Oryctolagus cuniculus: one gene and its partner. The protein of the gene in region 1 binds, or shares a complex with, the protein of each later gene. Links are inferred from orthologs where the notes say so. Each region holds a gene or a part of one and is shown on either strand. Other genes may lie near its edges.

Region 1 (3,543 bases):
ACAGTATATGTAAAACTTGTTTTATGTCAGTATTTGTAGATCTGTCTCATGCATGTTTTCATCCTCATTCTTTGTGATGGCCGTATCATTTTCCACAGAGGGCTGAGATGGCCTTTATTGCTGTCAGTTCTTAGTACCAGACATTTGGATTGTTTCTCAGTTTTTGCTGTTACAAACAATGCTGCTGTGATTGTTTCCAGACATTTTTATATTTGTGACATCTAAAATTAAGACATCTCTGTTTCAATAATTCTAAGTTTCCAACCCACTTCCTCTTCTTCCCACATAGATCTTCAGATCCCTACCTGTTGGCTATAACATCTCTAAGCAAGTTCTTGATCAGTATCTCACTCTGCTGGCAGACGATCCAGTAAGTTTATTTTTGCTCCTCCCCCCACCTTTATTCTGCTCTATTTACAATTTATTTCTGCCACTGATACTGTGTATCATTCTCCTGTAGCCCCATTTTCTACCTAGGCAGCTCAGTGTCTCCACCATCATCTGATAGAAGGGCTATCTGCTGTAGACCCTTGGCTAGATTTGCTCCATTGGGAACAGAATCGCTAGACTTTCCATTCACTTAACACTCTCTTGTCTCTTTTTTTTTTAATAGCTAGAATTTGTTGGGAAGTCTGGCGACAGTGGTGGAGGAATGTATGTCATCAGTATCCTTACCAGCTATTTCCTTCGAGTCAGGCAGCCTGAACCATGAAGCAGAATGACAGCTTAGGAGAAAAGGATATGATAATGTTTAGTATACTGAATTGAAGTAATTTTCTATGAATTTTCAATGAACCACATTGATGATAAAGTAAAAAATACTTCTAAAAAATTTAGTTTATTTGAAAGAGAGACAGATATCTCCCATGTGCTGTTTCACTCCCCAGACACAACAACTGGGGCTCACTCAGGCTGAGGCCAGGAGCCCAGAACTGAATCCAGATCTTGTACGTGGTGGCAGGGACTCAACCACACGAGCCACCACTGCTGACTCCCAAGAACCACATCAGCAGGAAGCTAGAATCAGGAACAGAGCCGGGATTCGAACTCAGGCACTGCAACGTGGGCCACAGCTTCCCTACTGCTGCAGCAAATGCCTACCCCTGAAACGGACTTATCAGCAACCAAATTGCAATCACACCAGCCCCTTACTTAAACACAATCATCGGGTAATATTTTATAACGCTTATAGGCTAATAACATTTAAATTTTAACTTCAAGTTAGTGATGACCAGGCCAAACATTAGTGAGTGACCTTAATCCTCTACATAAAGACCTCCACAAGGCATTAGCATCCCTAGCCACAGCCACTTTGGAGTCCGTCGTACAGGAGAGGTAAGGGGTCACTCTGATTGGGATTGGGATGAGACCCTCCTTATCTATACCCCACTCAAACAAGCAATTTGGCCACTATGTAAACAGCTAATATATGCACACCTTGGTACACTTTGCTCCATTTTCCCACTGGACTGTTATGGATCCTTTCTTGTTTTACCGTGTGCCTTAGCAGATCTGTTTAGTTCCCAGTGATGCAGATTAACTAGCCTCCCTAAGCCTGTGGCACATGCAAGAACTGTGGCACTCACACAAGTCAACAGTTGGTGACTACCTTACTGTGATTAACAGTACCATCGCTGTGGAGTGATGTGGAGCTGTGAAAGGAATCCGTGATCACTGTTCCTCTCTGGTCTGCCGCACACATGGAAGAGAACAATCACCATCTGTGGTTAGGAGCTGAAGCTAATATGTGTTAGCATGCACAGTTGCTTTCTTCATTCCTTTCCAGGTTTGGATCTCGCTGTGCCAGAATATTCCGTCTAGTTTTGCAAAAGAAACACTTGGAGCAGAAGCAGGTAGAAGACTTTGCAATGATTCCTGCAAAGGAGGCAAAAGATATGCTTTATAAGATGCTGTCAGAAAATTTCATTTCACTCCAGGTAACCAATGGTGTAATCACTGCCAACCTGCAAAGCTGGCCTAGGGTGAGAAAAACTCCGAAACAAAAAATATCCTGAACCCTGAAACAAGCTCTGTACCCAGCTTAGAGACAGAAGAAGTGACTCATAAGACGTAGAAAGCACGTGAAGGATAATGTGGAGCTTTAGCTGGCCTGATAGGAAGAGTTACAGCCACGAAATCACCGGAAAGCTACCCTGCCCTCTCCTCATGACTTAAATGGATAATGGATTAGATCTGTTCACAGCATTTGGGGGTGCACACAGAGCCATGCAGGAGAGTCTGTGAAGAAGCAGAAAGAACAGCTTTTGGAGTCAGATCACAGCTTAGCCTCTGCCCCAGTTACACTGAGCAAGTTACCTACCGTCATGTTTCCCATCTCTAACATGCTGATGGGCGAGGGTAGTAGGATAATGTCACCTGCTAGAAGGATCAGCTGCAACCTCCCCGGCACATGGCGCTGCTCAGTAAATGTCAGTTACCTTCCCTCTCTTTGCCACTTAGAATGCTGGAGGTGAAATGGACAGCACGCGACTAGCCACGCACCAGGAACACAGGTGCTGAGTGGCAGGGGACTGCCGAGCGTGCGAGGGAAAGGCGGGCTAGGCGGCTCCGGGCAGCAGTGCTTCTGCAGTGCCAGCTGTGAAGCGTGCTGTGGTTCCTCTCATTTTTCCCTCTTGATAAACAGGAAATCCCCAAAACGCCAGACCACGCCCCCTCCAGGACCTTCTACTTATACACTGTGAACGTGCTCTCAGCTGCCCGAATGTTACTGCACAGGTGCTACAAGGTAACCCCACTGCACCAGCTCCCCGTCCCCTCCCCCAGACATGGCTCACCCATAGGCCCCTGATCCCAGCTTACCTGTGCTACTTAACAGAGTTGTGTGCTTTTCTTCTCTTTCCTCAGAGCATAGCCAATTTGATAGAAAGGAGGCAGTTTGAAACCAAAGAGAACAAGTGAGTAGCATTTTCAGTTGAGTCATTCACATTGTTCAAGCAAAGGCCTGAGGGGAAGTTTCCAGTAGAAATGGAAGCCAACAGAGACAATAACAGTCTACAGCAATAGAGACAATAGCCAGTCTATAGCAATAGAGACAGTAACCAGTCTGTAGCGTTGAATTGTTGGCTAATGTGGGCATGCATCGTGCATTAACCTACACTTTCCTGATAGACCTCCGATGACATAATTTCGCAAGTTAAATTTATGAGAAACATACAACAGCACCAAACTGAGGGGAAGTGAGGGACAGTAAGCGTTTCAGGAGTCAAGTTACATACCCAGTGCAATGTGTAGAAGAGCAGCCTTGACCAGGAATGTGGTAAAGGGGGAAGCGGGAGCTGTTCCTCAGAGACGAGGGGTAAGAGAATCCCCGGTGTTGGGAACTCGCCTCAGAGTTGTGTCTAACAGGCGTCTACTAGAGAAGTCCCAGAGGGTGGAAGCCATCATCGCGTCTATGCAGGCTACCGGCGCCGAGGCGGCACAGCTGCAGGAGATCGAGGAGATGATCACAGCTCCTGAGCGGCAGCAGCTGGAGACCCTGAAACGTAACGTCAACAAGTGAGTCTGGAAAACTGCAGGCCCTGT
Region 2 (4,076 bases), on another chromosome or scaffold:
AACCAATGGATGGAAGACATCTCTCTCTCTCCTTCTCTCTCTGTATTAACTCTTTCAAATAAATAAATGTCTTAAAAAAAAAAAAAGAAAGAAAGAAATGTACATCTTTCTGCTTGTTATCCGAAGTGGAAATCTCTCCCAGGGGAATAATTCAAAAGAAGAAAAAAGTTTAACACACCATATGTTCACTATGTATGTTGCTTAAAAAAAAAAAAAATCCAAATGTCCAAACAGGGAAACAGGTAAATCAAGATCCAGTCCCTGGGCTGGCATTCTGGCCCAGTGGGTAAAGGCGCTGCCTGCAGTGGGCGCCAGTTCAAGTCCCAGCTGCTCCACTTGTGATCCAGCTCCCTGCTAATGTGCCTGGGAAAGTGGTAGAAGATGGCCCAAATCCTTGGGCCCCTGCACCCACGTGGGAGATCCCAGCTTTGTGGCCAATTGGCAAGTGAACCAGCGGATGGAAGATTTCTCTAACTCTGCCTTACAAAAAAAAAAAAAAAAAAAAAAAAAAAAAAAAAAAAAAATTCCAGGCTGCTGCCTGTGATACCAGCATCCCACGAGGCCCAGGCTCCTTGCTTCTGCCTGGCCCAGCCCAGGGTGTTACAGTCATTTGGGATGGGAACCGAAGCCAGGAGCCGTAGGCAGGGCTCCCACGTGGGCGCAGGACCCCAGAACTCCGGCCATCCCCGAAGGACACTTTTCCCGTCAAATCACAAGGGCCAGAGTCACGACAGAAGCTGATCGGATCCGTCCCTCCCGCGGCAGAGCAGACTCGGTTTCCGTCTTCTCTCCAGGACCCGGGCGACCCTGAGCCCAGAACGGGGGACGGGGCAGCCGCTCCGGAGACGCCCCTGAGCCCACCCCGGACGCCCCGCCGCTGCCCCGCGGCAGTGACCGCCCCAAGGTCACCACACAGCGCCCGCAGCCGGGGCTGCCCGGGGCTGCAGCCGGGCCCCGCACTCCACCCCGACGCGCGACCCCACTGCTCCGAGCGGCTAAGTCGCGGCGAATTCCGCCCCCGTCCCCACTGCCCCGTGGGGTGGGGGTCGCCAAGGCGCTGCCTGGAGCTCGGCGCCCCCACCCCTGGCCCGAGGCCACGACCCACAAACGCCGCCCCGTAACGTAGCCCGGACCGGCCCCCCTCACCCCAGCTTTTTCGCCCTCTCAACCCAGCTTTTCCCGACTCCGGGAAGAACCGGGAAGAGAAGGCGGAGGGCAGCGAGACGCCGCCTCATAAATACTGTGGCCTAGCCCCGCCCCCAATCGTCACTTCCGCCCCGCGGCAAGATGGCGGCGCCCAGGCGCTGCCACGCAGACTTCCGCCCGGCGCGGAGACTAGGGGTCGGCGGCGAGTGGCGTCGGCTGTGAAGTGGGGACGCGCGGTTGCGGAGCCCCAGCGGCGTGTGCGTTCCTGCCTCGGGCCTGGCGGGGGGCTGGGAGGGCAGGTTAGAGCTAAGGGCTCCGGCCGGGGTGGTCCGGGGCGCCTCGCCACGTGGGAGGGGGAGGAGCCGAGACGCAGCCCGAGGGACGCGTCGGGGGCGGGTTGCAGGGGGAGCGGCCCGCCACGTGAGTGCGGTTCCGCCCCGGGTTCGCGGGTCCGTCTCCGCCGGTGACCGGGCGCCCGTTCTCTCTCTCAGGCAGCATGTCGGAAGGAAGCGCCGCGGGCGAGCCCGGCGCTCCGGGCACCCCCCGGCCCCTGCTCTCAGGGGCCCGGGGGCTCATCGGGCGGCGGCCTGCGCCCCCTCCCACGCCGGGCCGCCTTCCCTCCATCCGCTCCAGGGACCTCACTCTCGGGGGAGTCAAGAAGGTACCCGCCCGGCGCGTTTCTCAGGACACTCAGCTGTTTGGCACTCCAGGCTCCCAGATTCAGCAGATGCCCCTGTGTGGCTTGCTGTGTGCTGGGCGTGGTGTTGGGGCTCAGTCAAGTCTGGGTGCTGGCCACGAGCTGTTGAGGTGGTTTTCAGAGGATCGCGCCTGGTTCCAGACGTTCCAAAGAGCAGGGTTTACTTTCATTGTGCGTGCGTGTGTGTTGTAGAAAATGCTCTGTGTATTTGAAAGAGTGCTGGCATGCACCTGCTGGCTCACTCCCCAAATGGCCCCGATGGTCCGGACTGTTCCAGGCTGAAGTCAGGAGCCAGGAACTGCGTCTGGCCATCTTCTGGCTTCCCAGGTGCGTCAGAGGGAGCTGGATGGGAAGTGGAGCAGCCAGGACCCGAGCTGGCGCCCCAGTGTGATGCTGGCATTCCAGGCAGAGGCTTAACCCACTGCACCACAACACTGACCCGCTGACCCCTTAGTGTTTGTTTGGAGCCCCCTTTAAGAACCCTAAGATAGCCAGACAAGCACAAACGCCGCTGTCAGTTTTGAGAGGGTCCCAGAATCCTCTGGTAGATTCTGGGCATGGCATTGGGGCCCGGTGCCCTTTTCCACGTGACTGTGGCTGTGAGGAGCTCTCAGAGGGTTGGGGGTGACAGGGAATGAGACAGAGCAGACAGCAGCCAGTTTTGAAAGATTTACCTGTGTCTCGGGCCAGTCTGGTGCCAGTCTAACCATGTCCTCTGTGAGTGCTGGCAGATCTGTGTTCCCTGCCTGGGCCTTGAGCGAGAGCTGTGTGCCTGTGGTACTGATTGGCCCCCGTAGCAGACTGGAGATGAGAGACATCAGACAGGTTTCTTTGCATTTGGAGGTGCTGGTGGGGCTCTCAGAGGGCAGAAGCTGCTAGTTAGGATGGTGTCGGGTTCCCTGCTGCCCGTGTGACTGTGCTGCCGCCGTGGCAGGATGGCTCTCCTCGCCAGGCAGCTGTGTGTCTGTGTGAAGGTGTGATGACAGCGCAGTGTGTGCAGAGGGCCTCAGGGTGGGCTTGGTCCCCAGGAGATGCCCTTTGGGGGGTCAGAACGGATCAAGTCAGTGACTCTTGCATTTTGCTTTCAGAAAACTTTCACCCCAAATATCATCAGCCGGAAGATCAAGGAAGAGTAAGTAGCCTGAATACTTGCCCCTTGTTTCTTTGCACAGGCTGGGGCTGTGGGGGAAGTAACTAGCTTATGGCTCAGAAGTGTAAAAATTTGTGTGTCCATTCTTTGCACTGGTGATTTTTTTTTTTTTAAGATTCATTTATTTTACTTGAAAGAGTTACACAGAGAGAGGAGAGGCAGAGAGAGAGAGAGAGGTCTTCCATCCGATGGTTCACTCCCCAGTTTGGCTGCAACGGCCGGAACTGCGCTGATCCGTGCCAGGAGCCAGGAGCTTCTTCCAGGTCTCCCACACAGGTGCAAGCACCCAAGGACTTGGGCCATCCTCCACTGCCATTCCAGGCCATAGCAGAGAGCTGGATGGGAAGTGGAGCAGCTGGGGCTAGAACTGGTGCCCATAAGGGATGCTGGCACTTCAGGCCAGGTGTTAACCCGCTGTGCCACAGCACCGGCCTTGCACTGGTGATTGTTAACCCTGGCTTGCAAATGATTTTTTTTTTTAAAGATTGATTTATTTGAAAGGCAGAGTTACAGAGAGGGGGGTGGGGGTGGGTCTTCCATCCGCTAGTTCATTTCCCTCTAAATGGCCTCAGTGGCCAGTGTTGGGTCGGGCGGAAGCCAAGAGCTTCTTCCGGGTCTCCCATGTGGGTACAGGGACGCAAGTACCTGGGCCATCTTCTACTGCTTTCCCAACAATAGCAGGGAGCTGGATTGGAAGAGGAGCAGCTGGGACTCAAACTGGCGCCCATGTAGGATGCCAGGTGATTCTTAAAGTGCAGGCCTTCAAAAAATACAGATCCCCAATGCTGCATCTCTAGAAATTGTGATTGGACTAGTTTGCAGTGAAACAGAGTGATGCTATCTTGCAGCCAGAGTTGAAAGGCAACAGTTTAAATTTGGGGTGAGGAGTGTCCGGCTTGCAGGACATCTGTGGCCCACGAAATCTGGTGTGACCCTGCCAAGGCAGCCGTGGGCAGAACTCCCAATTCAGTTAACTCTCCGGGCAGCTAATGTAAGTTGATGACTGTGTATGGCCTGAGAATGATGTTGTAACTATCAGAATAGCCCGTGGCAGGAAGGAGGTCAGACAGATGTGACCACGCT

The links. The genes of interacting proteins can lie anywhere in the genome.
Region 2: POLR3C (region 1) and POLR3D share a complex: the UniProt entries of both Homo sapiens proteins name them as parts of the RNA polymerase III complex. The link is inferred for Oryctolagus cuniculus from reciprocal best matches to the Homo sapiens genes POLR3C and POLR3D.

Annotation. Positions count from the first base shown.
Region 1 is NC_091438.1:49,048,813-49,052,355, reverse strand, and holds part of POLR3C (DNA-directed RNA polymerase III subunit RPC3), read left to right. Parts: intron 1-289; coding exon 290-370; intron 371-613; coding exon 614-665; intron 666-675; exon of another isoform or gene 676-738; intron 739-1,274; coding exon 1,275-1,335; intron 1,336-1,786; coding exon 1,787-1,937; intron 1,938-2,460; exon of another isoform or gene 2,461-2,513; intron 2,514-2,644; coding exon 2,645-2,746; intron 2,747-2,865; coding exon 2,866-2,915; intron 2,916-3,366; coding exon 3,367-3,516; intron 3,517-3,543. UniProt on the Homo sapiens protein: DNA-dependent RNA polymerase catalyzes the transcription of DNA into RNA using the four ribonucleoside triphosphates as substrates.
Region 2 is NC_091439.1:1,079,455-1,083,530, reverse strand, and holds the start of POLR3D (DNA-directed RNA polymerase III subunit RPC4), read left to right. Parts: upstream 1-1,269; 5' UTR 1,270-1,403; exon of another isoform or gene 1,404-1,445; intron 1,446-1,637; 5' UTR 1,638-1,642; coding exon 1,643-1,807; intron 1,808-2,931; coding exon 2,932-2,975; intron 2,976-4,076. UniProt on the Homo sapiens protein: DNA-dependent RNA polymerase catalyzes the transcription of DNA into RNA using the four ribonucleoside triphosphates as substrates.